Linked DNA regions of Xenopus tropicalis. The protein of the gene in region 1 interacts with the protein of each later gene in a biochemical or structural test. Links are inferred from orthologs where the notes say so. Each region holds a gene or a part of one and is shown on either strand. Other genes may lie near its edges. The genes, in order: anapc2 and securin.

Evidence for each region.
Region 2: the proteins of anapc2 (region 1) and securin form a complex in vitro, tested with the Homo sapiens proteins (2 studies listed by BioGRID, with this or other methods). The link is inferred for Xenopus tropicalis from reciprocal best matches to the Homo sapiens genes ANAPC2 and PTTG1.

The regions. Positions count from the first base shown.
Region 1 is NC_030684.2:1,699,951-1,703,766, reverse strand, and holds part of anapc2 (anaphase-promoting complex subunit 2), read left to right. Parts: coding exon 1-113; intron 114-897; coding exon 898-1,030; intron 1,031-1,115; coding exon 1,116-1,290; intron 1,291-1,642; coding exon 1,643-1,762; intron 1,763-2,293; coding exon 2,294-2,411; intron 2,412-2,678; coding exon 2,679-2,857; intron 2,858-3,237; coding exon 3,238-3,379; intron 3,380-3,476; coding exon 3,477-3,552; intron 3,553-3,816. UniProt on the Homo sapiens protein: Together with the RING-H2 protein ANAPC11, constitutes the catalytic component of the anaphase promoting complex/cyclosome (APC/C), a cell cycle-regulated E3 ubiquitin ligase that controls progression through mitosis and the G1 phase of the cell cycle.
Region 2 is NC_030680.2:46,748,343-46,752,663, reverse strand, and holds the start of securin, read left to right. Parts: upstream 1-1,296; 5' UTR 1,297-1,430; intron 1,431-4,321. UniProt on the Homo sapiens protein: Regulatory protein, which plays a central role in chromosome stability, in the p53/TP53 pathway, and DNA repair. Probably acts by blocking the action of key proteins.

The DNA.
Region 1 (3,816 bases):
GACTCGGACGAGAGAGGCGCCGATGAGTGGCAGTGCCCGGGCTGTGAGAGCAGCAGAGACCAGTGTTGGTGCCTCTGTGCTATGGGGCAGTTTCAGCAGCTCAGCGACATATTGTAAGTGACTAAACTGCTGTTCATAATGCCATGAACTGGGCACAGGGGGTATATTAGCCCCATACTAACTGCCCCGGTGTCAAATCCAGAGAGTGCGTCACTCTCTAACTGATCTTAAAGGGGTAGTTCCCCTTTACATGAACTTTTAGTACGTTATAGAATCGCCTATTCTTAGCAACTTTTCAATTGGTCTTTTTTTATTTCTTATGGTTTTCTAATTATTTGCCTTTAATTTCTGTTTCCTAAAGGGGGTCACTGACCCCGGCAGCCAAAAAACCTATTGCTCTGTGAGGCTCCAGTTTTATTGTTACTTATCTTTCTATTTAGCCCCTCTCCTATTCATATCCTAGTTGCTAGGGTATTTTGGACCCCGGCAGCCAGACCCTATTGCTCTGTGAGGCTCCAGTTTTATTGTTATTTTTTCTAACTTATCTTTCTATTCAGCCCCTCCCCTATTCATATACCAGTCTCTCATTCAAACCACTGCCTGGTTGCTAAGGTAATTTGAGCCCTAGCAACAGGATAACTGCACCCCCTGCAGCCAAACCCTATTGCTCTGTGAGGCTCCAGTTTTATTGTTATTGTCACTTTTTATTCCTTATCTGTCTATGCAGCCCCTCCCCTATTCATATTCCCATCTCTCCTTTAGACCACTGCCTGGTTGCTAGGGTAAATAAGTCCCTAGCAACCAGCTAGCTGCTAAAATGCCAAATACAGAGTTGCTGAACAAAAACAGAAAAACCAGGAATATGTGGAAGGGGCTGAAACTGTTGCTTTTCTATAGTCACAGGCTAAATCTGCTGGAGAGAATCTGCTCGGACGCAGTGACCACCATTTTGCACAAGATGATCGAGGAGCGGATGGAGAAGAGATGCCGCGGGGAGTATGAACGATCCTTCCTCGGGGAATTTCAGGAGGTAACGTTGGATATAGGGCATGTCTGTGTATAAGACTAAATCAGTCAGGGTAGGGGGTTCACCTTGTGGTCACTTGTTCTGGCAGTGGATCGAGAAGGTGATTGGTTGGCTCAGCAAAGTATTCCTGCAGGATGGGACGGTCCCGCCGACTACGCCAGAGACCAGCAGCACCCTGAAGCGTTGGCGCTGCCACGTGCAGCGGTTCTTCTACCGGCTCTATGCCAGTATGCGCATCGAGGAGCTCTTCAACATCATCAGAGGTGACCGGTCAGCCTAAAGGGGAAGCAAAATTTATTAAACACAGAAACCCCTAATATCCCTATGAGAGAGGAATAAATCCCATTCTTATAGGCTGAAATCCGGCTGCAAAACAAGTTCCTGGCTGGGGAGGAGGGACTAAAACACTGACAAATTGTAACAACTTCTCCACAGCTTACCGACAGCAGGCAGGAACTACATAACCCACAATGCATTGCACTGGGATGGTCCTTATTGACATCACATGCACATTGTGGGATTCAGAGGATGGAGGCAGGAGTACAGGGGGCGGGGCTTATTACATTAACCATCAAAGAGAGACCGCAACTGTGGTACAACGTTTCTTTCTTGTAGACTTCCCCGAATCCAAGCCTGCCATCGAAGATTTAAAGTTTTGCCTGGAAAGAACAAATCAGAGGCAACAGCTGTTAACGTCGCTGAAGAACGCTCTGGAAACCCGACTTCTGCACCCTGGTCAGTGGGTCTATTTCTGCCCTAATCCTCTCTATCTGTTTTATGGGGAAAGGAAGTGCCGTACGATCTGGACTGAGATTTATTTTGTTTCGTTATTACAGCCAGATCAACTGCAGCTCTTTTGGTCACTTCCTTGTCTAACATGAAACTCCTCCCCCTTTTGCTTTCTGAACCCTCCTTCTCTCTCCAACTATGAAGACCCCAAAGAGGTGCCTAATGGGCATGCCTGATTGATTTTGAATCGGAGCAGAACCCTCTTTGAGGTCTTCATAGTTGGACCCAGAAGGAGGGCTCAGGGGGCGGCGCTTCACTCTAAACAAGGAAGTCGGTAAAAGAGCTGCAGTTCAGCTGCTTGTAATAGAAAATGAGGAGAGAAAGGTGGAGGGAGAAAGGTTTGTCATCGTGGGGGCTGTTTAGGGTCATTTTAGGGGGTTTTGTTATTACAGCCCTGCAGACTGGCTAGGCCTTAGTAGAATTAAATAGAACAAGTGTATCCTTAGTACGTTTTTGATGCTTCTGTTTGTTTATTAGGAGTGAATACATCCGACATTATCACCCTGTACATATCGGCCATTAAAGCCCTGAGGGAGCTGGACCCTTCCATGGTTATTCTGGAAGTCGCCTGTGAGCCCATAAGGAAGTATCTGAGGTATCCGGAAGAATTCCGGGGGTTTTTGAGAACTTTATTAAAGGGGTTGTTCCCCTTTAATTTATAGTATGTGGTAGAGATTGCTAGTATGGAGATCCAAATCACGGAAAGATGCCTTATCCGGAAAGCCCCCGGTCCCGAGCATTCTGGGTAACAGGTGCCGAGCATTCTGGGTAACAGGTGCCGAGCATTCTGGGTAACCGGTCCCCCCTACCTGTATTTGAAGGATTAATATGAAAGCTCAAACCCTGCCTGTGTCCCCGATAGGACAAGAGAGGACACTGTCCGGCAGATTGTCGCCGGGTTAACCGGGGACGCGGAAGGTTCCGCCGACTTGGCCAATGAGCTTTCTAAGGCGGACCCCGTCCTGGAAAATGGGCAGGAGAGCGACGACGACGTGTCCGAAGCGGAGGATTGGCTGCCGGATCCTGTAGATGCTGACCCGGGTAAGTGCAGTATGGTAGTGTTTTTACCCCTCCTGATTGCCTAGCTATCTGGTTGCTAGGGTTGTGTTTACCTTAGCAACCAGGCAGTGGTTCCAACAAAAGACTGGAAGATAAATAAGTGAGGGACAGAATAGGAGGATAAGAGATAAAACAAACAATAACAATAAAAATGTGGCTTCACAGAGCAATCGTTCTCGGTTGCCAGGGTCAGTGACCCCCATTTGAAAGCTGCAAAGAGTCATAAGAAGAAGGGAAAGTTTAAAAAAAAAAAAAAAAAAATACAAAATGAAGACCAATTGCAAAGTTGCTAGGAACTTCTATAATATAGTGAAAGTTCCCCCACCCCATTAGTAACCCCCTTGTTCTCTTGTTGCCCCCAGGCAAAAGCAGCTCCAAGCGTCGCTCTTCGGACATCATCAGCCTCCTGGTCAGTATCTACGGCAGCAAAGAGCTATTTATTAACGAGTACCGCACCCTCCTGGCCGAGCGGCTCCTGCACCAGTTCAACTACAGCTCAGAAAGGTACCGCCCGCCGCCCCATTGCGCCCAACTAGGCCCATAGCGCACAGTTAAAATACACGGTCAGATGTATGACTGTTGCTGCTTCTCCCGTATTTAGAGAAATCCGCAATGTGGAGCTGCTGAAGCTGCGCTTTGGGGAGGCCCAGATGCACTACTGTGAGGTTATGCTGAAGGTAAGTGGGGGCGGGGCCTGCGGCTTGGGTTGGGGCACCTTCTAACCCCCATATATAATAGGCACTAAGTTTGCCCAGGACTAACCCATAGCGACCAATAAGGTGTTTGCTTATAAACAGGTGACCAGTAAATGCTACCTGCTGATTGGTTGCTATGGGTTACTGCTCCTGGGCAAACTTAGTGCCTTTAATTACATCACCCCCCTAAGAGACTTTTGGTTGGCTCTTTCTCTCCCCCTCCCTTTTTCTCTCTCTCCCCCTACC
Region 2 (4,321 bases), on another chromosome or scaffold:
ACACAACCCCCCATAGTAAGTTCCCCCAATTGAGACAGTACCCCCCATACACATTGCCCCCAATTGAGACAGTACCCCCATACACAGTGCCCCCAATTGAGACAGTACCCCACATACACAGTGCCCCCCCATAGACAGTACCCCCCATACAGTGCCTCCTTCTTCTTCAGCGGCTCCTCTCCTTATGCGGCTTCTTATACGGCGGTGACAGGCCCTTTTATAAGGTTGTGCCCCGTGCGTATGTGTGACGTTAATACGCACGAGGCGCAACCTTATAAAAGGGCCTGTCACCACCGCACAAGAGGCCGCATAAGGAGAGGAACCGCTGAAGAAGGAGCACCTCCCGCTGTCACGGATACTTCAATGAATGTCCAGCATTTCCGTAATCTATTACGGAAATGCGGGACATTCATTGACCTATCCGGGACAGCGGGATGCGCTATTAAAACCGGGACAGTCCCGTGGAAAGCGGGACAGTTCGGGGGTATGGTAAGATCTTTACCCCCATATGTAATGAAAGGCACTAAGTTTACCCATTAGCAGTAACCCATAGCAACGAATAAGATGTTTGCTTTTAAACAGGTGACCAGTACATTTTATTTGCTGGTTGGTTGCTATGGGTTACTGCTCCTGGGCAAACATAGTGCAATTAACTACATAATCCCTTTACAGAGCTGTCAGCTATGTTAGCAGGGGGAATTGGAGCCTGAAAATTTGTTCCTGCGCCCTAAATTCATCACTGAACTTTGTTTGACTTCCTCAAAATCGGGAGAATCCTGCTGGGGGACAAGTGACCAGGGAAGAATCTTCAAAATCAGGTAACTCTTGAAGAAATGGGGGGGGGGGGGGGAGGTTGACAGAGCATAGGGGTGGATTTGTGTGGCACTAGCCTTATATAGGCCCTCTACCGTTTATATTCTATTATCTCTTCAACATAGCTTTCTGATTGGTATGGGGGGAAAAAATTCAACAACCACAATGAATAAAACATGCAAACCAATTACAAATTGTCTTTTAATTTTACTGTCTGCATCTTAAAAATATAAAAATTAAAGTTAAAACCCCACTAAACAAACTTTTAAACATGCAAATATATAGAAGCCACATTTATGCAGAGAATACTATAGAAATCTTTGAGTGTATTGTATCCAAACGTGGAGAAAAACGTGTCTGTAGTTTTGCAACTGCCTTCCCCTTTCACAACGATTCATGATATCAAAGCCGTTAGTAAAAGGGCGGGGAGCTTTACAGGTCTTCAGCCAATGGGAAGACAACTTTGTGTTTAAAAGCCGCAGGACTGGGTGCTGCACGGTCAAGTCTTTGAGAAGTATTTTCAGGTGACGGCTACTAGACGCGGCTTCTCTGTTTTGTGGGTGGCTACTGATTCTGATTTCTAGCTGGCCTTGTTTGGTAACCGCAAGAAGTTACAGGTAGTTGTGGATGCTTGATTAAATTTCACTTTCCCAGCCTGGTGCTTTGATGTTCTTTACTCTTACCGTAAGTCACGAGGCGAACCGGCGTTACTTTCTTGGTCCGTGAGCAAGCGTAACGTTGTGTCGTGTGTTGCCTTTGCGCTGGCGGGTAAAGGCCGTTTGTGTGTGTGTTTTTTTTTGTTTTTTTGTTTTAACTTGCAGTTCTGTGTAGTGGCGTATATCTAGCCAAATCTATTGTCTGTAAGTTTAACTGTACTGCTTATGACTCTTGTCCCTAGAGACATCCAGTGACTGAAGTGGGGATGCAGTAAACGAGGGTTTTTTTTCTCTCCCACCCTACACCCAATCCCATATTTTATTGATTACAGCACAGCTTTGAATTATGTATTCCGATTGAGTGTTCTTAAAGGGCAAGAAACCATAGACTCAGGGGGCACTAATGTTATGTACCCCATGAATTGTAGTTGTTTGTTCATTGCCCTGTTCTTCATTTACGTGAAAATAGCTCTGTGCCACATTATACCTTTTCCAAATGGCTCCCTAGACTTTCATAAAATGAATTTTTTTTAATTTTTTTTTTTGCGCTTATGGTACATGGCTAGACAAACATCTAGCTTTTTGACCTCTTACAAGACACAAAGCTGAATATTTTCTACTTTGCACTTTCTTGCATTTTGTCTCTTATGGTACAGGTATAGGACCCATTATCCAGAATGCTCGGGACCAAGGGTATTCCGGATAAGGGGTCTTTCCGGAATTTGGATCTCAACACCTTAAGTCTACTAAAAAATCAATAAAACATTAATTAAACCCAATAGGGTTGTTTTGCATCCAATAAGGATTATTTATATCTTAGTTGGGATCAATTACAAGGTACAGTTTTATTTCTACATAGAAAAAGGAAATCCGTTTTACAATTCTGAATTATTTGATTATAATGGAGTCTATGGGAGATGGGCTTTCCGTAATTCGGAGCTTTCTGGATAACGGGTTTCCGGATAAGGGGTCCGATACCTGTACTAATGTCTAGCTTTGTATTGTGTTCTAGAGATTATTCCCACTGCAATCCACCTTGTCCTACACAAGGGGGAATTCACAAAAGTGGTGATAATGAGACAAAATAAAAGTGGAGGGAGATTTGTTGGATTTTCCACCTAACTCTCAAATCTCTATCTCCACTTTTGTGAATTTGTTTTTTAAACAGGCAGCTTTCAGATTTTGTCCTTTTGCCAACATTTTATAAATTTGCTTTTAGCTCTTCGTAAATCTGTCGTCATCAAACCCAGTCCCACAGCTACATGAACCATGGAATAAGGATTTTGCCAGCAGTATTTGTCATTTCATTTTGGGGGTATTTCCTGAAGGGAAACTATACATCATTTTCAAGACAAGCTGGGCTTTCTAATGTGTTCTATATTTGTGTAATTCCACTTCTGTAACAAGATTTAAGGGTCTAAATAGCTTCTTCTCTAGCCCCTACTGACCAGCAGCAACATGCTTGGTAAAAAGGGGCCCAACTGGACTAAGACCCACCAGGTTTTTATCCAGGGCCAGTCCAACCCCAATGTCCCAGTTTGGGTGCCAGTGTGTATGTGCTATTTTCTGATCACCAAGATGGCAGCTGGGAACAGAAGGGGCACAGCTAAAGGTGGGGGCCAATGCAGCTCTGTAGTTCTGGACATGCTATGAGGGCTCAAGTTAGTTGCAACAAGTGTCAGTGAAGTGATTAAAGAGGGGGGCACTGCTGCTAAAAATTTGCCTGGAGGCTTTACTTTTCCTTTAAATAAAAATGTATACAATGTTATTATTGCCTCATTGATTAAGCTAAAACAAGCATAATCATGCAAATGCGAGGGGGGGGGGAATGAAACATATGTGCAGTATGAAGCAAGGAGGGAAAGGAAGGGAGAATACCTTTTTTAAAGATGGCTGCCTGTTCAAGAAAACAATGTGAAGTAAGTGTGACTCAGTAAATATTTGATTAGGTGAGCCAAAAGTGTGGCGGTTTTACTAAACAATAGGAGGACTATTGGGCAGTATGCTTTTTATATTTTGACTTGCATTCTCCTTTAAAGTTTGGTGCATCCTCTTCAATTATTTCCTTTTTAAAATGGGTTTTTCATGAAATTTCTCTGAATTCTCTGGTTCCTCCTAAGGCTAATGCCACATGAGCATTTTCTCGGCAAGCCGAAGAATGCTTGCTGAGAATACGCCCCGCTACTGTAAATTTAGCCTACCTTGTGCCTGCACCCAAATGAATGGAATGGCCTCTGGTGCAGGCACATGTGGCAGATATCCGCGTAAAAATGTGAGCCTTCGTATTTTCGTCGGATATCGGCTACATGTGCCTGCACATTCATTCGGATTGGGGCGCAGGTAGCAGCGTATGGCTTTATTTTTGGCAAGCGTTTTTTGTCTTGTCAAAAATATACGCCATAAGCGAAGTGCCATTGTCCTAAACCATTGGGGAGGGGTTGGTCTTTTTAATTTGGAAAGCAAATGCATTATTTATTTTTTAAATAATTATCCCAATGAAAGCAAAAAATTCATAGGTTGTCCTGGGTTACTGCCCAGGTGCACATTTGCCCACTCTTTACAAATGAGCCTCTAATTATATTGACCTAAACATGAGTGGAACACCATTATGCAGGACAGTTATTGGTGCACTGGTAACTGTTTTTGCAAGAACCTAACCTGAAACAGCTTTGGTTTTCCTGTTTAAGTGAGGAAATGTTTTAATGTGATTAAAGTAGGCAAGTGTGTTCAGCACAAGCCTTGTTGTTTAAACTGTTTGAGTAAAGGCATATACTTCTCAAATTTTGTAAAGTAATATAATGTGGATCATAATGTTTTATCTAGACCTTGTGGACCTCTGTGTGACTGTTTGC